Astyanax mexicanus: one gene and its partners. The protein of the gene in region 1 purifies or fractionates together with the protein of each later gene. This does not show direct contact. Links are inferred from orthologs where the notes say so. Each region holds a gene or a part of one and is shown on either strand. Other genes may lie near its edges. The genes, in order: card11, malt1 and map3k7.

The links.
Region 2: the proteins of card11 (region 1) and malt1 purify together in Homo sapiens (affinity purification with western blotting; 6 studies listed by BioGRID and IntAct, with this or other methods). This does not show direct contact. The link is inferred for Astyanax mexicanus from reciprocal best matches to the Homo sapiens genes CARD11 and MALT1.
Region 3: the proteins of card11 (region 1) and map3k7 purify together in Homo sapiens (affinity purification with western blotting; 3 studies listed by BioGRID). This does not show direct contact. The link is inferred for Astyanax mexicanus from reciprocal best matches to the Homo sapiens genes CARD11 and MAP3K7.

The regions. Positions count from the first base shown.
Region 1 is NC_064410.1:55,729,662-55,737,587, reverse strand, and holds the start of card11 (caspase recruitment domain-containing protein 11), read right to left. Parts: upstream 3,094-7,926; 5' UTR 2,937-3,093; intron 1-2,936. UniProt on the Homo sapiens protein: Adapter protein that plays a key role in adaptive immune response by transducing the activation of NF-kappa-B downstream of T-cell receptor (TCR) and B-cell receptor (BCR) engagement.
Region 2 is NC_064429.1:23,829,947-23,837,102, forward strand, and holds the start of malt1 (mucosa-associated lymphoid tissue lymphoma translocation protein 1), read left to right. Parts: upstream 1-4,067; 5' UTR 4,068-4,258; intron 4,259-5,857; 5' UTR 5,858-5,937; coding exon 5,938-6,089; intron 6,090-6,527; coding exon 6,528-6,691; intron 6,692-7,156. UniProt on the Homo sapiens protein: Protease that enhances BCL10-induced activation: acts via formation of CBM complexes that channel adaptive and innate immune signaling downstream of CARD domain-containing proteins (CARD9, CARD11 and CARD14) to activate NF-kappa-B and MAP kinase p38 pathways which stimulate expression of genes encoding pro-inflammatory cytokines and chemokines.
Region 3 is NC_064408.1:47,758,579-47,766,232, reverse strand, and holds the start of map3k7 (mitogen-activated protein kinase kinase kinase 7), read left to right. Parts: upstream 1-4,640; 5' UTR 4,641-5,473; coding exon 5,474-5,560; intron 5,561-6,876; coding exon 6,877-6,987; intron 6,988-7,654. UniProt on the Homo sapiens protein: Serine/threonine kinase which acts as an essential component of the MAP kinase signal transduction pathway. Plays an important role in the cascades of cellular responses evoked by changes in the environment.

The DNA of each region.
Region 1 (7,926 bases):
CTATGCTGATAGGTGTGGTGTTCAGGTAAAATTTCAGGTGCATCGCTATCTTGGCAAAACACAGGTGCGCCACTAACTGATTTAAACCCGACAACAGTCAATCTTCAAACATTCATTGCTATTTTGGCAATGCAGGCATTGAATACTCAATGTGCATACACTCCTGCTACTTACACACACACACACACACACACACACACAAGGACATGCTGCAATATGGAAATCCAACTTTTACATTAAAAATAAACACAGCGTGAACGAGCAGATCAATTTCCTCTGCTGAAAAGCGCAGAAGCACTGCGCCATTAGAATAGCAATGCGCCAGAGGAAAATCAAAGCACATCTGGTTTTTAAAGGGAATGCAAAGTGACAATTTGATTCTGATCTGATTTATTTCACATTACGCCCAAAACCACAACCATTATTAATTAGGAGAATTAGTACACACCTTTTGCATTTTTCAAGATGTGCAAGGTGTACTTTTCCCATCGTTACGATAGCAAAGACACACTGAAATGCCCAAAATCAAGCTGCATGTTGTGCGGTTGACGTCTTGCCTATAGGTCACTAAAATAGAGCCACGTGTGAGCAAACTGAACTTTTTGTTTGGTCATTTTTTGGTTTGGAAAAACATTAAAATAGACCCATCTGTGCTGTGTGTTGTACCATATACAGCAGTAATATTTTGAGACGATAGGAAAGTATGAATAAATGGATTTCGCCCCACCTCTAACTGTAATAAATACATGCAGCTCAGACATGAAACACAAAACTATCAGACTTATGACTAATGTAAAGGCCTAAAAACTTACTGGTGATATAAGGCATTATCAGAATATGAGCAAATATGACATAGAAACATGATTCATGGTGTGTCAACATGCACAATTAATACTGGTTTCAAACACCGCAGACATGTTTCCTGTGAAGAATGCATTTAGATGACTCTTGCAGAGCTCTCCCGTCATCTCCATTGTTTGATGCTTCAATTGTTCAAACAGTTTCTTATAAATATTGACCAGAAACATGATGGGAACAATCTCTGGATAAATGTAGTTTTGTAGTCTAAATAGTCTGTGATTTGTGAGGCTAAATGACTTTGAGAGAGCAGATTTTGAGCAAATATGACAATGAAAATAATGTGATATGATGTGATATGATACAGATTACAATTCAATATAATGTGATACTGTGAATGATGTGATGTTTTGTGATATTTTAGGAAAACATAGTAGTATATGGATTAAACAAATTATCAAATTTTGATCCAATCAGATCAATGGGATCTGAAAACAGCACTAAAACAAAGAGTTTAATCAGAGTTTAAAATACATAATAAAGTAAACCTCTGTCTTCCACCAATCTTTACCATGTAAAATATATATTTATAAAATGTGTTGCAAAGTTGCAGTGTTGCAAAACATATTATCACAATATGCTACCCGTGATAAAGATGAAATCATGATACTTTGAATCTGTGATACTCAATATATTGCAAGACAATTCTCTATAACTATGAAACTTCACAGCATCTGTGTCATTGAAGAGAATAAAATATTCATAAATAAGAAAATACCAGGAATTCTGGATTTATAGGTGGCACATATGATAAAATAGAAAATATAGTGCATACTTTAGCTTACTCTTGTCTCTTTAAACCATATTCACTTCAACTCTTCCAATTGTAGCACTATTCCAATATTGTAAAAAAAAAAAAAAAAAAAAAAAAAAAAAACATGAACTGCCATAAATTAGAAAATATGAAAATAATATGAAAAAGTTCTGCAGGTAGAACACAACCTCAACACAACTACTTCACAAAAATCTTTTCAAATTGTGCAGCATAATCTTTCTGAAAAAAAAAAACAATAATTATTAAAAGAAGAATACACTAAATAAACAATTGTGTCCACAATAGTAATAAACAATAGAGCCCTAAAAATACCGTACCAGTCAAAAGTTGGGACAAACCTTCTCATTCAGTGTGGCTATAAAGGAACACATAAGAAATCATGTAGTAACTTAAAAGTGTTAAACAAACATTTAGATGGCTTATATCTTGGGACTTAGCTTGTTAACTTGTGGTTTCTGATGCTGGTAACTAGGGGTGGGCGATATGGCTCTAAAATAATATCAAGATATTTCAGGGTATTTTTGCGATAACGATATACTTGGCGATATAGGAAAACTAAAATAATTCATTAATTTCAGGAATATAGTATAATAGTATAACAGTATAATCATAATGTGGCAAAATAAATAATATAGCATAAAATAATATAATGCAGCAAAAAATATTGCAGAATATTCAGTGCATGCATATAAACTGCAACTAAAACAATTATACAATAAATACACCTAAAGCTTCACAGTAAATAATAGACTACTTGTAAGACAGAACAGCCCTATTATCACGATATGGATTTTTAATATCATGGTATATCTGTGTCACGATATATTGTATACAATATAATATTGCCCACCCCTACTGGTTACTCTGATTAACTACTACAACATTTGGTGTTTGGTTTACACCACAGAAGATTGTGTAAATTTAAGTCTTTTAGGGGAACTGAAAAAGCACCTATCTTCAAGTCAATCTCAACTCAACTCAAATTCAAACACTCAAAACTCAAAACTGCTCCAACAAGTACTTCAACTCAAAACCCAGCCTCACACACACAAACTTCCAGATCTTCTTAAAGAGCCTAATAACTCGACTAGGACTTCAATTAACTCAATACTTCTCAACTTAACTCAAGTCATCTCAGTTGCACTCAGCTGTGCTCCAGCAGGTGCAGTTTTTAAGGTTCTCAGGGTTTGAGTTGCGTCGCTGCGCAGCGATGCGCGAGCGCTTCGTCCTCCGTCAACTTCTACCAAACTTGTCCACACAGCTCTCTGCTCTAAACCAGTTCTAAAACCAGCCCAGAACTCACCTGTAGAAGATCCGCTCCCACAACTCAGCACCCAGCACACATTCCGGCCCACGAACCCAGAGGAAGGAGAGGTAAAATCTCAGCCTGGAGCTCAGCTCAGTTCCTCCACTTACACAAACCTTACACCTGACCCACACACACTCAGAGACAGCCGGCCCGCCCACACACAGGGGGCGGGGCTACAGGAGAGTCTACTCAAATACATTAACCCTGTAGAGAGAGATGCTCTATAAACATTACAGTTTCTGGATCAGTTTCTCTGATTTTGCTATTTATAGGTATATGTTTGAGTAAAATGAACATTGTTGTTTTATTCTATAAACTACAGACAACATTTCTCCCAAATTCCAAATAAAAATATCGTCATTTAGAGCATTTATTTATTATAAAATGAGAAATGGCTGAAATAACAAAAAATAAAACGCAGAGCTTTTAGATTTTAAATAATGCAAAGAAAACAAGTTTATATTTATAAAGTTAAAAAGTAAAGTTAATAACAGTTTTTTATGCATCTTGGCATGTTCTCCTCCACCAGTCTTACACACTGCTTTTGGTTAATTTTATGCCACTCACTCCTGGTGCAAAAAAATAAGCAGTTCAGCTTGGTTTGATGGCTTGTGATCATTCGTCTTCCTCTTGATTATATTCCAGAGGTTTGGTAAATTTGGTAAAATCATTGAAAACCCAAAAATCAGTGTCTCAGAAAATTAGAATATTGGTACTTTTGGTACTTTTGGCAGTGTGGGCAGTGTGCCAAGTCCTGCTGGAAAATGAAATCCTCGTTTCTATAAAAATTCTCAGCAGAGGGAGGCATGGAGTGCTGTAAGATTCAAGTTTAGATCACGGGGATTAATGTGGAGGACATTTTTTTACGGTTTACTACATAATTCTATATGTGTCTCTTAATTGTTTTCCTGGATTTAATATGAATCTACAATTTAGAAAATAAATGAATTTAGGAACAATTAATTAAGGTGTGTCCAAATGTTTGACTTGTACTTTAAATTTAAAAGTATTATTATTAATAGTAGGAATATTCACTGTAAATATTTCTTGATAATGTTACAGTAAGTTACATACACACATAACATAAAAGAAGTGTATAATTACAGCATATTACTGTATAATAATAGTAATAATAGTAATTTCCTGTTACCAAATGACACCTTTTTTGGGGTATTTTGTAGCATAAATTAATAAATTATAATGCTGTTATTATTTTTTTCAATAAATAAATTATAGTTAACCTTATACTGCAAAGAATTTAATTGTAAATGAACAGTAAAAAAGCTGTTAACAGAAACACTGCAAAGGTAGTGCCTTTCATTTCTCAGCCACCATAAAATCACACTCTACAGTGCAGAAAATGACAACTGGCACTTATTATTATTATTATTATTATATATATATATTTTTTTTTCGAAAAATCTGAAGTTTTATTGTCACATATTCAAATACCATCAATTCATGCAATACTTTTTCTTTCTTTTTCTTTTCTTTTTTCCAACAACCCTTATTTTTTCATACAAAGAGCATTTAAATACAAAGAGAAAGCATAAACATTTAAAAACAGTTTTGTTTGTATATATAAAAGTCCATGCTTTGGTTTAAAAAGTCCACATGTTTACAATTAACTGGATAAATAAATATATAAAATACAATAAAAAAAAGAATCAATAAAAACACAAGTTGTGTGAATCAAATGGTTTTACAGAAAAAAAAAAGATTTTGTTTTGGCACAGGTATTGGTTACAGTGTTTACTATAAAGATAAAACTGTGCAAAAGTACCATTTTAACATTATACTACACTGTATTGAGATCTGAGCACTATGTTTATATTCTTATTTTAGTTTATATCGTACTGTCATACATTTTTTTTATTGTATCAACAACATGTTTTATTAGGCATATCGAGGATGTCATCTGTTCTTAAAGAACACTGAGCCAGCTGTGCATTTTATTACAGAGAGTGTAAAAAAAACATGTTATGATGCAATAAAACACTGTACTTTGCATGAGAGAGTATTTGAATAGCAGAATAAGATAAAATAAGATAAGCCTTTATTATTTAATCCCACAGCAGGGAAATCTGCAATGTTACAGCAGAGCACAGAAGACACAACTATATATATATATATATATATATATATATATATAGTTATAAAGTATAAAGTAAGTGTTTATTAGTTCAGTAAAACACTAACTTAGCATTACAATAAATACAAACAGCAATTTTACAAAAAGCAGAGCTTTTACAGCCCTGTTTTTCTTAAAACATCTTCTAATCTCTTCTCCTCACCTGAGTTTAATCGAGTTATTTCTAGTTCTCATCATGTTAATCAACACCTGGTTTGGTAAATTGGTAAATGTGGTAAATCAGGTGAGCTGCTGACGGAACGGAACATAATATACACATGCTGGCTGAGGAGCATCCAGGTGAAATCTGGAATCTCTACACTTTATTCTTCAGCTGGACTCACAGGATATAACATATTTAGTTTTACTGTATTTATGTTTATTTGCAACTGTTTAAATTAAATGTGGTGCTTTGTTCAGGTAAAATCACTCATATTGCTGAGATAAATGGATTAGTGTTATTTAATTTGGTGCCTAAAATCTTTGCACAGTACTCTCTCTCTCTCTCATCCCTTTTAGTTCTTGATCCCTTCAAGATTTGTGTTCAGATCTGCAGAAGAGTACTGTCATTTCCCTCTCACGTCTCATTAAGGGTGAAAAAATGAAAAATCAGTATAAAATATGTAGTATAAAATATAGTTTAAAGCATCAGAAAATGAAAAAAAAATGCAACACCATCACTATTGCTATTTATTTACTCTCAACCTTTGTGCAATATCACTGGTCATGCATACTGAGGAACCATGTTTTAATCTAATCCTATTAATTTGTTATAAAAAAAATTACTTTGTGTGAAAGCAATGTACTAATTACCTTAATTAATCGTGGGTGTGGTTAATTTTGGGCGTAACGTGAAATAAACCAATCAGCGTGCCAGTAGTCATTCCCTTTAAGAGGCAGGTGCGCTCTGACTTTGGCGGGTGCTAGTCTTAACCCTCCTGGTGTTGGGTCATCACCAGTGATAAGAGGAGTCCTAATGAGTGGGTTGGGTAATTGACCTTGTAAATTGGTGAGCAAAAAATGATTTTACTGAAAGCAACAAAAGACTTTGGATTGGTAACACTTTACTTGGATGCTCCATTTGATGGCTTTTTTTATGCTTAACTGACATTCAACTAACCTTCAACTACATGTCTATTAAATGCAAATTAAAGATTCTCTATTGAATATAACCCTACATTCAACTCTAACCCAAACACTTATCTTAATATTTTAGGATTGGGTGTAGGGTTAGATTTTAAGCTTAGGTTAAGGTTAAGGTTAGTGTTAGGTGTAGGGTTAGATTTTAGGGTTGATTAAGGGTTAAGGTTAGTGTTAGGTGTAGGGTTAGATTTTAGGGTTGATTAAGGGTTAAGGTTAGGGTTAGGTGTAGAGTTAGATTTTATGGTTGATTAAGGGTTAAGGTTAGGGTTAGGTGTAGGGTTTGATTTTATGGTTGATTAAGGGTTAAGGTTAGGGGTTAGGTGTAGGGTTAGATTTTATGGTTGATTAAGGGTTAAGGTTAGGGTTAGGTGTAGGGTTAGATTTTAGGGTTGATTAAGGGTTAAGGTTAGGGTTAGGTGTAGGGTTAGATTTTATGGTTGATTAAGGGTTAAGGTTAGGGTTAGGTGTAGGGTTAGATTTTATGGTTGATTAAGGGTTAAGGTTAGGGTTAGGTGTAGGGTTAGATTTTATGGTTTATTAAGGGTTAAGGTTAGGGTTAGGTGTAGGGTTAGATTTTATGGTTTATTAAGGGTTAAGGTTAGTGTTAGGTGTAGGGTTAGATTTTAGGGTTGATTAAGGGTTAAGGTTAGGGTTAGGTGTAGGGTTAGATTTTATGGTTGATTAAGGGTTAAGGTTAGGGTTAGGTGTAGGGTTAGATTTTATGGTTTATTAAGGGTTAAGGTTAGGGTTAGGTGTAGGGTTTGATTTTATGGTTGATTAAGGATTAAGGTTAGGGTTAGGTGTAGGGTTAGATTTTATGGTTTATTAAGGGTTAAGGTTAGGGTTAGGTGTAGGGTTTGATTTTATGGTTGATTAAGGGTTAAGGTTAGGGTTAGGTGTAGGGTTAGATTTTATGGTTTATTAAGGGTTAAGGTTAGGGTTAGGTGTAGGGTTAGATTTTATGGTTTATTAAGGGTTAAGGTTAGTGTTAGGTGTAGGGTTAGATTTTAGGGTTGATTAAGGGTTAAGGTTAGTGTTAGGTGTAGGGTTAGATTTTAGGGTTGATTAAGGGTTAAGGTTAGGGTTAGGTGCAGGGTTAGATTTTAGGGTTGATTAAGGGTTAAGGTTAGGGTTAGGTGTAGGGTTTGATTTTATGGTTGATTAAGGGTTAAGGTTAGGGGTTAGGTGTAGGGTTAGATTTTATGGTTGATTAAGGGTTAAGGTTAGGGTTAGGTGTAGGGTTTGATTTTATGGTTGATTAAGGGTTAAGGTTAGGGGTTAGGTGTAGGGTTAGATTTTATGGTTGATTAAGGGTTAAGGTTAGGGTTAGGTGTAGGGTTAGATTTTAGGGTTGATTAAGGGTTAAGGTTAGGGTTAGGTGTAGGGTTAGATTTTATGGTTGATTAAGGGTTAAGGTTAGGGTTAGGTGTAGGGTTAGATTTTATGGTTGATTAAGGGTTAAGGTTAGGGTTAGGTGTAGGGTTAGATTTTATGGTTGATTAAGGGTTAAGGTTAGGGTTAGGTGTAGGGTTAGATTTTATGGTTTATTAAGGGTTAAGGTTAGTGTTAGGTGTAGGGTTAGATTTTAGGGTTGATTAAGGGTTAAGGTTAGGGTTAGGTGTAGGGTTAGATTTTATGGTTGATTAAGGGTTAAGGTTAGGGTTAGGGTTAGGTGTAGGGTTAGATTTTATGGTTTATTAAGGGTTAAGG
Region 2 (7,156 bases), on another chromosome or scaffold:
CTGTCTTCAAGTGTAATGTATAAAAGTCTCGGTAAATATGTAAAAAAAATATTAACAATATGGAACACCATGCCTGGTAACAGAACTGAAGTCTGAATAAAGTGTGTGAATAAACCTAGCTAGCCGAGATTAACTAGTCATCTCAGCTAGCTAGCTAGCTAGCGAAGTGTTTTATCAATGAACATCAAAGCATCTGCTGCTGCTGGTGATGTTTGTTGTTCTTTTTCTCTAGGATAAATCAGGAGAGATATTTTATTAAAGTACCACTCAATGGGTGTTGATTGGCTGATGGATAGTTTACTAATAGTGAAGTTGTGACTTGGAGTGAGGCAAACCCACCTTATTTAATGTGAAAAAAACTAGTTTATTGTGTTTTAAGAATATGTATATAATTTATGCAAAGCAGGGAAAATGTTTACGATAATTACATGATCATGTATAATTTTGTATGTAACTAGAGTTTAATAGGGCAAACGACTCACTTAACAACACTACCAAGCATCGCTATCCACTGAAAATGACCTTTGACCTGGGAGTCGGTTAATGAATCGGTTAATGAATCGGTTAATGAATCGGTTAATGAATCGGTTTGTGAATCGACTCCCAGGTCAAAGGTCATTCTCCTCTGATGGGTGATTCCTCGGAATTTTCTAAAAGACAGTTCCGTTCCTGGTATGGCAATTCTTCTCTGTCTTTCTTTTGTTTTAAAAAGTGATTCCTTTCTTCTCTTTTTGTCTTTTGTCCTTCCTCTCTTCTATTTCCAAAAATGATTATTCTTTTTTGGAAAGCCAGTTCTTCTCTCTTTGATTCTTTGATCCATCTCTTCCCTTTTTCTTTCCAAGGGTGATTCTTTTTATTTTTCTTTAAAAGCTGAATTCATTCTTATTTTTTTTTTTCTTTTGAAGTCGAAACCTTTCTTTTTGTTTCTTTTTCTTAAAAGGCGATCCCTATCTTTAAATTTATTTCTAAAACTTTTTTTTTTCAAAAAGTAATTCCTCAGTCTTTTTTTCTTTTGAAGGTCTATTCAATTCATTTTTTTTCTTTCACATAGCTCTCTTTTTACTTTTTTCTTTCTAAAATGGCAATTTTTTGTTTTTGTTTCTTTAAAAACACAATTCTTCTCTCAATTTTTAATTTAAAAGGGTTTTCCTTTCATCTTTCCTTACAAACGGCGTGAATATCAAATTTTCACAATATCAGCTTTTCTGAAATGCGATTTTTCATTTTCTTTTGGAACCTGATTATTCTAATGTGAACAGTTATCATTTGATTCTTTAAAGATTCTTTAATTATCTATTGTTTTTTTTTTTACTGTATTATATATTACAAACCAATGATTTTGCTCAGTATTATGAGATGTATACTTTGGTGATTGTTTGATCATGTTGGCTTTTCGCCCTGCAACATGTTTTATACTTTTATTTGTAGGCAAATCATTTAGTGCTGTCGGCACTGCAGATGTTGCAGGCTACTATTCTTAAGTTAAGTTGTCTAAAGCAGAAACTCATCTCTACACTGCATCAACCTCTGTAGCTACTACATACCAGCCTTATGTTTATTCTAAATGTGCCACTTTTTACCTAAATAAAAAATATATTTTTTCTTAACTTGTCAGTTGGTCTGTGTTCTTATTTTGGGGGTGTTTGTGTGATGACTTTAAAAGTAATGATGCGAATCAGCTGAATTTAATGCGCCACTGAGTGAGTAATCCAGAATGCTAATCACTCTGCAGGTCATAGTGTTAGCTAGCCAATCGCAGCGCAGTGGGCGGGGTCTGTCTGAATTTGGGTGGGAATCAGAACAGCAGGAGATGAAGGCGGTGTGCTGAGAGATCAGTTACAGACAGATCTGTGTTCGTTTGGAGGCTGTTTGTTGGAGGGGTGACATTTCTGACGCCACACTTGAAAAGAACCTGATCCAGCTATTCTCATTTTCTCGGTATTGAGATTTAAAGGTTTAATGTCTCTCACGGTGTTAGGAGGTTTAAGTACACTGGTTTTACTCACCGGACCGGTTTTTTTCGTTAATCAGTCCTTAATTAGTGTTTTATTTATTGATTTTATTTTAACTTTTGCAGTATCATATCTCGCAAATAAAATGACTACAAATGTATATACTGTAAATAAATACTTCGATGTTAAATCAACCGCACAAGTTATGCTACAAATATACCAGGCAAATTATCCTGGAATTAAACTACCACACTGACATTACCCTCAAAAGCAAGGGCGTAGGAGCGGGCTTGATATTGGGGGGGACACATTTGCCAATATGAACCCAAGCCCACCCAATAGTTTCCTAGAACAACATTTGTGGAAATTACTTTTAATTAAAAGTAAATTATTATTAGTAAATGGTGATTTTACAACCTAAACATGTTACTCCACATTACAGCTACTGTTGTTACAAAAATTATGCAAGAAATGTCTGAGTTATCACCTAATATTTAAAATAATATAACAGATTATTATTATTGTTATTATTATTATTATTATTGTTATTATTATTATTATTATTATGTATTGGCAATGTCAATTCTGTTGTATATTTACATTTTCTCCTGCACTTTTATTTTTTTTCTACTGAGAGCTCTTCTTAAGATGGTGTCCTTTTATGTAAAAGAATGTAACTTTACGTTTCATAGAGACTTTTATAAACGTCAGGATATGTGGTCTTACTGTGAAATACAAATGAGCAGAAGTCACGTTACAGCAGTGTTTCTCAACCCTGTTCTTATATATTCTACTGCATATTAAAACTGTTCTGCATATTCTAGAGCTTCCTCTGGTGGATATACATGATTAATTTAGACTCCATAGGGGGCTAAAGGATTTTAACAGGTAAACTCAGTAAATGACTGTTTATTAGCTGATCAGGTGGAAAACACTAGTTTAGGGCAGTGATCGGGGTTAAGTAACTGCTTTAAACTACCAAACTACCAAAATTCTGGCGATCATCTACATCCAGCTTCTAGATAACTAGTTAGTTAAATCAATTTTCGTTCATTATAGCTCACAGTAAGTCCTGTAATCCTAAATGAATAAACAGTTTGAAAATGAAAGTGATTAGCTGATCAGGTACAGGGAAACATTACATATATATTTTATTTTTTTCCTTTAACCCTGACTCCCAATCTAGCTAATTCCAAAGATAAGCTTACACACTAACACAGCTGCAGTTTATTAATCACAGTGGGTTTAAACTTTGTGCTGATTCAGAGACGTGTATTTTTAACCAGCTATCAGAAACATAACATCACAGTTGAAGTGGTTAGCCTATCGTTACCTTTCTTTTAGAAAAATCTCCGTATATCCATATCTGTTTTAAAATCAGCTGAAGCTGCTGCGTCCCGATCCCGCTGCTAAATCTCACAGCGAGGGGGCGGGGCTTCCCCAACAGCAAACTGCCTCTGCTCCGCGCGCCGCAAAACCAGCAAGCTGATTGGCTGTTTCTACTGAGAGGCGTGACTTAATACCTGAACCGGCTCCGTGATTGGTCCGGTCTGTCTCCTCATTAATAGTACAGCTGACCTGAGCGAACTGATATCATTTTTGGGGGGGACAAATCCACCTGTTTTTAATATTGGGTGGGACATGTCCCACCCATCCCCCCCGGTTCCTACGCCTATGCTCAAAAGCATTAAACAATACGTTACTGCTGCTAAATGTGATACGATGATATGATACTGGTATATGAAATAAAATATGCAGAACTACCCATTTCTCTCTGCATCTCTCTTTTTCTCTGGCTTTTCTCTCTCTCTTTTTTTCTCTCCCTTCTCTCTCCTTTCTTTTGCTCCCTCTCTCTCGCTGTCTCTCTTTCTCTCTCTCGCTCCCCGTCTTTCTCTCTATTGCAATTCTCTGTCTCTCTTTCTCTCCTCCTCTTTCTCTCACTTGCTCCCTCTTTCTTTTTCTTTCTTTCTCTCTCTTCCTACTCACTCTCATTCATTGTGCCCTCTATCTTGCTCTGTCTTTTGCTCCCTCTCTCTCTCTTTCTCTGTCTTTCTCTCTCGCTCCCCCTGTCTCTTCCCCCCCCTCTCTCTCTCTCTCTCTCTCTCTCTCTCTCTCCACACGCACGCACGCACACACACACACACCTTCGTCACAGTCACACACATCAGGAAGTAGACCTCAGCAAGAAACGTAGACATGTTTATAGAGGTGAAGTGGATTTCCCCACCGAGCAAGGAAACTACAGCGATGTATCATCTCTTTTTTTTCTTCCTCCACCTTTTTCCTCTTCTCTGAGCAGCTCTGAGGTACATCTCTCTCTATTACTTATCTCTATATATGTTACTTTCTTTGTCAGGTTTGCTTAAATATTGAGATGTGGACTAAAGTTAAATGCCAATCTGTCTCTCTCTTTTCTAACCTAAAAATATAAGTTACAGCTAGCTTGCTCTGATGCTCTTCTCAGGCAGGTTAGCACACTGCAGCACGCCTGTGTTGTTAAAATGTAGCTAGGGTTAATTTCCCTGAGACATTTTTAGGGGGTCTTCAGTTTGAGACGGAGGAGAAATCGCTTAGGGTGCTTTAGGGGAAACCTTAACATTTCTGGAAGAAAAATGTTCATTGAAGCACCTTAAGCTTTCTTGAAGGTTTTCTCAAAGTAGTGGTTTCTACTGTGTTTGAACCCATAAAAGATTGTTTAGGAAGTTTGTTTAACTGTGCTTGTCAGTAGAACCCACAATCTGGTGTGAAATATTAGATTAGTCCAAAATTTTAATCCTTCTGGCATAGTGTTGCCCTCGTGCAACAAACCAAATTTTTTGATTAATGCACCTTTTTATATCTTATTTTTGATTATTTACTTACTTAATTATCTTTAATATAATGTTACACGTCCAATACAATGAGGCATACAAGTGGGTGATAAATAAAAATGTGTATATGAGCAAGAATATGTAAAGAAATATATTTGGCTCCTAATATCTAGATTAATACTAGATTCTTACATTCTTGTTGTAAACCTCCTCTTATCTTTCATGTTTTGGGTTTGCTTCCTTGCTCTAAAACACCTGATTCAAATTATCATCTTATTATCAAAGGTCAAAATCTAAATTAATGTTTGCTATATTCAAAGGGACTTCCTAGCCTCTAGAGCTGGGCGATATGGCCCTAAAATAGTATCATGATATTTCATGGTATTTTTGCGATAACGATATTCTGGCGATATGACAAAACATTCAAATAAAACATAAATACACTACTGGAACAAAATGAAAATGAAATTTTAATATTGCATATGGTATGATATGGTACACCCCTATCTGTAATATTAAAAAAATACAAGAATTTTATCAGATTGTAACAGAAGTCAATGAGTCACAATGTCATGATACTAATACTACAATCCATATATCTCTATATATCCAAAACTAAAGTAAAATTAATGATACTGGACAGATATATTCTGTCTCTAGTAAATATATAGTAGAAAAATGAGAACAGTGTGATTTTTCCTTTTGCTAAAAACAGCAAAAAAGTAGTACCCTGATGTTATAATTAGTGGGGGGTAATATGGCACGTTATTTCAGGATATAATATCGTTCATGATATTCAAAAAAGTTGACGATATTATCATGTACTATACGATTTGGCACACAAAACTACCAGAACTCAGCCGAATTAGATTAAATTGGCCCGTTCATGGCCCTGATGAAATTTCATCTGTGAAATACTTTCATGGTGACTACCGGTAACTAAACTATCTAAAACCTGTTAATTAATTCATATACAGCATGAATCTACAGCATATAAAACACAACACATGAAACAGCAGCCACTGATTTACTTCTTTCTCTTTATTTCTCTCTATAAATCTCTTCCTGCTGTCTTTGAATGTTGCTGCTGGTCAGCAGATTGTCAGCACAACCAAGAAACCCGAAGAACCCATTCACTTCTTCCAGCCTGACCCTTTTTAACCAGAGTCTCAGCAATGTCTCAAGATTCTCACGACGGCTCACTGAACATTAACTCTCTGAAGGAGCCTGTGCTACGGAGGCTCTGCGAGTGTCTGGACAGAGCTAATAATAAAGGATGGAGGAAGCTGGGGGAAACGGTCAGCAGTGACCGGCGGTTTAGAGTGAGGTAAGATCTCAAGACTAACCACAGAGGTTTTACAGTGTTTGTGGTGGTAAATCAGTGTTAGTGCTGTTGGTAAATTTTTAAAAAGAAAAGAGTGTGAACTGACTTCTCTTTCTTCTACTGCACTGCTGGAGGTTTTTTAAACACTGTATTCACTCACTGTTATTTTTTTTTTTCACTGTATATATTTAAATTTTTTGGCAGTGAAGGAGGAAGTGTATGTCTGTCTCCACCTCCCACTGACATGTTTTCTTACTGTCTCTCTCTCTCTCTCTCTCTCTCTCTCTCTCTCTCTTTGTTACATTCTTACCTTTTTTTTCTCTCTTTCTCTCTCTGTCTCTCTGACCCCCCACCCCCTCACTCCTTTTATCTCTCTCTCTTTCTCTCTCTCTCTCTCTCTCTCGCTCTCTCTCACACCCCTCTGCTCCCCTCCCCCTTCAGTTTAGATGACATGGAGATGTGCTCTCTGAAGGTGTTGGAGGTGGAAGGCAGCCCCTCCCGCAGTCTGCTGAGGCTCATGGGAGATCGAGGCTGTACACTGGGACACCTGGTGGAGTTCCTGAAGATGATGGGTCACAGTGAAGCCATTCAATGCCTTAAATCAGGTACATCTGCCGCTGCACTCACACACTTTAACACTGTTGTGTGATGGTTGTGACAGTCCTGTAACTGACTAAAACTATTAAATAAGTCTTTAATCCACAAACTTGCAAAATGACACTAAATTACATTATATTGATGGAAATCCACCTGATGTTGCGGTTTTAGACAATTGGGCCCAATCCTATTTCAATCCTTGTCTCTTCCACTTAGCCCTACTCCTCTGTTTTGCATGTGTACGCCTAGATATAGGGTGTCCTCAATCTTGATAGGCTGGAGGAGGTAAGTGGGGGGGGGGGGGAGTTGGAGCTACATTTAAAATATTGCAAAAAAAATCCCCCTATCCCCTTTTTTGAAGACATACAATAAGGCCCTAAAGTTAACTAGTTATCCAGCAGCTAACTTTCTGAACACGGCTAGATTTTTTTTATTGGGTTTTATTGGGTTTTAATAGTTATTTTCAATTTTAA
Region 3 (7,654 bases), on another chromosome or scaffold:
TTTTAGTTGCCATTAAATTATCTTAATTTTATTTCAGTGTTCTGTATCCTGACAAGATCACATTGTATATTTTACAGAATTTTAAGATTGGTTTATAACTTTTAGTCCTGTAAAATTACAGTAAAATATATTTAAAAATACTTTTTCTGGCAACTAAAATAACTTTGCTTTAAAATGTAAATTCCATTTTAACAGTGCAGTGATTGTATTTGTATTTACAGTAGTTGTGAGTTTTTCTTTTTATTTATTGTTATTATTATTATTATTAGGTTGTTTTTTTTTTGCTGTATTCTTTATGCAGTTTTGGCAGGGAAGTATTAGCAGGATGTTATAAGGTGATGAGTCTGCATTATATTATCTTTATAAATTATATCTAAACTGGTCATTTTGAATAGTGCATGAGGTGCTTATGTTTATATTATACTTATTGTAAATTCTAGTTCCTTTTACCACCACTATTAATAAACAAATTAAATAATGTGCGTCTCTCCTCAATTAATCAATTCACACCAAACTCACTTCAAATAACACTGTTGAATTATGGAGAAACTTGTTGAATTCCACAGTCAGGGCCTGCACAATGCACGGGGAGGACAGACACCCTTGTCTGAATATGAACAACTGCTGTTTGAGTTTTTTCCAGCAGTGGTGATTAATAGGGATCATATTCAGCTGTCACCAAATGATGGTTGAAATCCTGAGTTTATTTTTAGAACGCTGAAGTCATGTGTTCAGGTTACTCAGCAAATGCAATTTTGTTGATCATTTTCCCATCACCTCTGGTCACAGTGCACAAGGTCACACTGCTTCAAACCAAACACAGTACATAAACAAACACAGCAAACAGACCAAAGGGTAAACGGGTAGTCCAGTGTAGTCCAGTGTGTGAGGTTGGACACTAAGCTCTAATATTATACAGAGCTGTCAAATTTATTAACACACAAAAACTTCAAAAAGGCTGCATGCAGTCAACCAAAGCCTAGTTAGCTCTGCACACAAAATAAGCTGTAAAAGTATTCTGAAAGTTTACTGCAACATGGAATTAATTTTTTTGTTTTATTTTGTTTTTTTCTACCTTTGAGATGAGTTGCCGCACCAGAACTAATCATCCAGTGAGTGTCTGATTTCACTAATGCTCTCGCTTTCAGGATGAATGCAATCAAAATCTTGCAGCAATGTTCCAACATCTAGTACAAAACCTTCCCGAAAGAGCAGACACAAGTCCTGCAACAAAGAGGGGACAGACTCATTTTTAATACTAAGGCAGTGTATTGGCATAAACTTATTGATACAGGGGTTACAATCCATTATATTAAAATATATGACAATACTGTAAGTAATGTAATATATTGTGAATGCTAAAATCAATACTTATCACTTTACTGTATTTGGATGAGTCATTACAGATGCCTCATAGATGCTCAAATAATATTTAACGCAATGGGCCCTATTTTAGCGATCTATAGTGCAACGGTCAATTGTGGATCTGCACAACTGGATTTAGGGCGTGTTGGCAGTTCTTTGGTATCGTGTGGGCGAAAACAGCACCCCTTTGCTCAGCTCAAAACGCGCAGGTATTAATTTTCTTAATTAATCATGAGTGTGTTTTGGGCTTAACGTGAAATAAATCAATCAGTGTGTTAGTTGCCATTCATTCCCTTTAAGAGGCAGGTGTGCTTTGACTTTGGCACATTCGTATCTTAACAGGGCAGCACTTTGTGATTCTCAGCAGATGAGATTGACCTGCGCATTCACACTATGAAGGAACGGCAGCAGCTTATTTAAGAAAACAGAAATGTTTTTTTCATTCTTTATTTTGTTTATTATTAAAAAATGGATTTGCGCTCTGTGTGTGTGTGTGTGTGTGTGTATGTGTGTGTGCTGAATTAGCTGGGGTGTACGGCTGCTGGGCACATGCAGCATCATTTCAGTCAGTGGAGATCCTGTGTTTTCCACCGCCAAAATAGCAACACACCTCACTTCCAGACCACCACACCCATCAGTGTAGATTTATTCCTAAACTCCCACACTATTAACGGTGCGGGTGCAAGGCGTGAAAATAGACTGTTGATAGGGTGTAAAATAGCAATGAGCATCGAGACGCACTTTGCACAGGGTGTCCGACCCTACGTCTATTAAATGCAACTGAATGCTCTTTACTCTTTAACCTGAACTGTACTCTTAACATTTTATAGTTAGCTTTAGAGTAGATTTAATGTTTAGGTTAAGGTTTGAGTACAACACTCCTCTCTAGTGGGTGGGGTTTAAACACAACACTAAATGAACCATTGTCTGCCACCAATCTTTACATATAAACCAATAATTAAAAATGAATACTGTGTTTTTGATTTTTGATTTTGCAAAACAAAATATTGAAATACTTAATTATATTAATATTTCCTTTCATTCCTATTTAATTAACTTTTTTGGAAGAATCTGTCTATCTAGGGCATATTATGTCTGTCCAAAATTACTAATTGTATTACAATCTTGGATACACAGAGAACAATATTAATATCATATTGGATCACTCATTCGTGGGACATGAGCTTGTGAAAAGGCCTGTTTTTTATGTTGCGGACAAATCTTTGGACACAACGTTTCTTGTTAAATGTAACATTAAACAGACATTAAAGCTCTACAGGAACACATGCAGAGTCCCTGGAGGTGATAAAGAACAGTTGCTGAATAGTTGCTGCTTTTCCTTTATGCTGTAAAGCGCCAGCTCATCCCAAATCACCTCAAATCACCATCTCAGTTGGGTTTAGGTCAGGGGATTGTGAAGGCCAAACACTTTCTGTTTACTACATAATTTCATATATGCTACTTAACTGTTTTTGTGTGTTTAATATTAATCTACAGTGTAGAAAATAAATTTAACAAAAAAAGAAATGAGAAAAACATTGAATGAGAAGTTTTTATTTGAATATCATGCAGCCCTGATATACAAACATAATGGAGCTAGTTTGCCATCCTATCCTGTTTTAGAACCTACAGCTGCATTCAGGATAGCTCTCTATTACAGAAATAGTGCACTATATAGTGTCTGCCATTTTCTAAAGCTGTTCATAAATCTCAACAGTCTCATTTTATTCCCTAGATAGTTTACTATCAAACACTCATAATGTATCACAAACTGTAGTGTACAGATCATGCAAGCTAGAATTTCCAGCGTATACCTTAATGCCTTGGTGGTAATGTGTTGGTGTTGTGTCAGACGTCCTTAGAGCGGCAAGAATTAAGGGTGTTTTCACACCTGCCTTGTTCGTTCTGAACTTTCAGATTTTTGCTATGGTCTGAACCAAAGTAGCAGGTGTGAAAGTGGCCATGAATCATGGTGCATGAAACGAAGAACCAGAGGTAGGTCCAACCAAAAGTGCTCTCTGTCCGGATCTACTGAACCATGGTCTGGGTCTTCCATGGTCTGCAGTGAGAAAACACTTTTGTAAATGGTTCCAACTTTCAGACTAATTTGACTGTTTGTCATAAAACAGAAATAAAGGAATTTGAGGATAATCTTTTACACTCATTTTTCTGTGGGGTGCAACTGTACAAGGAGCAAACCAGACCAAATATATTCAATTTTAAAAAGATATGAAACTTGGTCAAGACTTTTAGGTGTGAAAACAAAAAAAAGAAATTTGTTGTTTGGTCGTTCCCTCGTCAGTTGGGTCATGATAAAATTAGCTGTTAGGTGTCAGATCATCGTGTTTGGGTAATATTTTGCTGATTGGATAATAAACTTAGCTGTTAGGTGTCAGATCTTTATGTTTGGATTAAACGTTGCTGATGATATCATAAACTTTGTTGTTAGTTGTTGGATCTTTATGTTTGGGTTAAATGTTGCTGATCAGATCATAAATATCCACAACCTCCTAGCTGTAAATTGGAGGAAGTTACCAGTCTGGTGTAGGTGTGTGAGCAGGACAGCAGAGTATAGGAAATGGGAATAGGCTCTATGTGTGACTCAAGATGTTAGGTGTAGCATTTATGTATTATGTTACCTAGATCAACATCACTTCATATCATTATTCACATCAACACTAGATGCTTTTATGTCAGTTCATATGGTTGTATATGTAGAGATCAGCTCCAGACCTAAAGAATTACAGCTCTGGAAAAAATTAAGAGACCAGTTTCTCTGATTTTGCTATTTATAGGTATATGTTTGAGTAAAATTAACATTGTTGTTTTATTCTATAAACTACAGACAACATTTCTCCCAAATTTATAATACAAATATTGTCATTTAAAGCATTCATTTGCAGAAAATGAGAAATGTCTTAATAACATAAAGATGCAGAGCTTAGACCTTATATAAAGTTCAGAAATCAATATTTGGTGGAATAACCCTGGTTTTTAATCACAGTTTTCATGCATCTTGGCATGTTCTCCTCCACCAGTCTTACACACTGCTTTTGGATAACTTTATGCCACTCCTGGTGCAACAATTCAAGCAATTCAAAACAAAATTCTTCCTCTTGATTATATTCCAGAGGTTTTCCATTTGGTGAATTAAAGGAACTCTTCACATTTAAGTGGTCTCTTATTTTTTTCCAGAGCTGTAGTTCTGAGAGCTGGGTGTTGGAGCAGGTTGAGGCTCCATACCGCGGGCTGACTGGAGAGGGCAGGATTCAGAGGAGCTCAACTTCCTGGAAGTACAGCAGTCAGTCAGTCTGTACTGCGCCGGAGGAAAAGAAAAATACACATAAAATAATAATAACAACACACGCGCTCCATGGAGGAGACACGCTAAAAGTTCTCCACCGCTTCTGTAATGGGCCGAAGGCCTTGGTCGCGTGAAACGGACACTTAAGGTGGTCTAAATCGCCCTGAAATGTTAAGAGGTTTGGAGGCGGTGGTGAGGAGCCTGGGCGCCGGTGTGGAGTGAGCGCTGCGCGGCCGAGAGCTGCTCCTCCCTCCCCTGTGCGGCCCGGCGGAGCGCGGCTTAGCTTAGCTTAGCTTAGCCTAGCCTAGCTGAACTAGCTTAGCAAGCGCTAGTTCAGCTGCGGATCGCAGTCTTGAGTTTTGTTGTTGCCAGTTTGAGCTCGTTTTTTGTGTTGTGTTGTTTTCTGAGCTAACCTTCAGACTCCGCTGAATTTAGGAGGAGAAGTTTAGCTAGATAACGCTATGTACTGCCGACCCTGTCCTTCAGACTCGGGTTTGTTTAAAAGCCGCCTGTCCCGCTTCTCTCGGGCCAGTGTTGCATTCAGATAGACGGGTTAGCGCTAGCTTAGCTTAGCTATCGTTTTGGGGCTGCTGGTCTGGGAGCTAGAAGTTTTTAAAGTGGTGAAATTCCTGTGAAGCTCGCGGTGTAATGCGGGGCTCGTTAGGAGAACCAGTCCCTCTGCTTGTGGTTGAATAGCAGAGGTCCTTCACTGTAACCGCTGAATGTGTTTAGGCTCCAGAATCGCCATTCTTTGTTCGGTTTTGTGTTTTTAATGGTCGCTGTTAGCCGGTTAGCTGGCTAGCAATGTCTGTCCCCTCCGCCGAGATGCTTGAGACACCACCTGGATATCCGTTTGAGGAGATAGATTATGCTGATATCGAAGTGGAAGAGGTAACTAAACCTGTCCCTGTATCTCTCTTTAGCTTTATTAAAGATAATTAGTGAGTGGGGTTTCATATTCATGTGCAGAATTCAGTAAAACACGCCGGTTTGTCACAGTTGTTCAGCTGTTTCTAGCACACACCTCAGCAGTACACCTGGCTAAGGTTAGGCTAGGTTAGCTTACGTTATCTAGCTACTCTACCTAAAAACCGGTTTTATTTTAATTAGATATTTTTCACAGAAAAATCTTAAGCAAGACTTTTCACTAGATAAACTTTCAGTGCAGTTTTTACTTTAACGTTACAGTACACATGCTGATTTATACCTTATTTAAACATAGCACGCAAATTTGCTAAGGGCATTTGTGTTTGGTAGATTATTTCTTTAACAGTGATTCTTGTCAATTAATTTCCCTTTTAAATGATTTCACATGTGTACCTAATGAACATGCTTTTAATGGATGAGCAGATTAAACCTGAGTTTTTGGTTTGTGCCCATGAAAACTTTGCCAAATCTTCTTAGCTTATGCTGTTGCTATGGAAATTTGTTTTGAGCTTCTAGTACCCCCACATGATTGGCACCTGATTGGCAGCACCTGTGAGTAGGCATGCAATGATTAGTCAATATAATCGAGAAGTTGAATCAGAATAGTCGTTGTCGACTAATCATCAATTTGTCCACTACACAAAGTACTGGGGACAGAAGCACAACGGGAGAGGGGTCAAAATCAACTCAACCTGCATCTCCAAAAGTGCACAAACACAACAGTTAACCTATTTCCACATGTAAAGGACAATGTTCTGGACATTTGAAGGGCATTAAAATGCCACATCCAGTTGTTTACCCACAGCAAAGAATTGGCATGCCATGTTTGAATGAGCTGGATAGTCTACATAGGGCAGCTTCAAGCTGTTGTTCCTAGTTGTTCCAAAACCTAGTTGTGGAACCCTTGTAAAAGTATCTTCAAATTGAAGGCCAGGTTACATATAACGGTGAATGTTAGAGGCTGTGAAGGGGGCATCACATGAAGGTAAATTTGCTCTTAAGCAGAGAGCATTTCAAGAAAACATTATGGGCACAAGCCACATACTAAGCTCTGCTGCGCATCTCACAATTACAAATGTTGCTTTATTTACAGTAAGAATTAACTGGGTTTTCTTTGTATAAGATCTATTGCCAATAAACATTGTTACAACAAAGAAATAATATACCAAACACACAGGTTTTCAGCGTCTATGTACAGATGTTAAACCTCACATTGCTAGCTAAGATTGCCCAGTAAACCTACATGGATCCTTCATACGAAGCAAATGTCTCATTTTCAGGTGGTGGGCAGAGGAGCGTTTGGTGTCGTCTGCAAGGCCAAATGGAAGGGCAAAGATGTGGCTATCAAGACCATAGAGAGTGAATCTGAAAGAACTGCCTTTATAGTGGAGGTACAGTGAAATCAAGTTTTACTTAATTCATCACACAAACAGTCCTACACCCAGGGGCGATTCCAGGATCAAATCAACCCAGTCCTTTCATTTTTACTTTCTCTTTAAACAGTTTTTTAGAAGATAAGAAGATAAAATTGTGTTCATTCTCTCACTCGAATTTAAACAATGGCTGATTGGTAGGCTGCAGCTTAACCTAATAAATTAAAAGTGCCAGACAGTGACAGCATAAAGAGTGATGCTTGATGGTGAGTGTGAGCAGGCTTAGCACACAGGAGGACAGAGAAAAAGTGAACTATACTTTTTGTGTAGTGAGTAGAGACTGCTGCATTTTTATTCTTAAAATACAGTTTTAACAATTTTGAACCTTTTACTTTCATTTTAGAACTAGTTTGAACTAGTTACACCCATGCTCTTTGTAGGTTAGGCTTAATCATTAGAGATTGATGATCAGTTAGTCCAACTTGTGTAGAAGGCTAGACATCTGCCAAGCACTGTGCCCAGTTGTCCACCTACACAGCAGGTTGATGGTTTTCTCAATTTGACTTAAGAAGGGCTTGATTCTTAGCCAATAGTGTGACTCAGCTGCAGCACAACTCTACTCTGTGCAGGTAGACAACAGGAACTGACTCTGATTCACAGTGTAACTCTTTCTTTTTCATCTCCA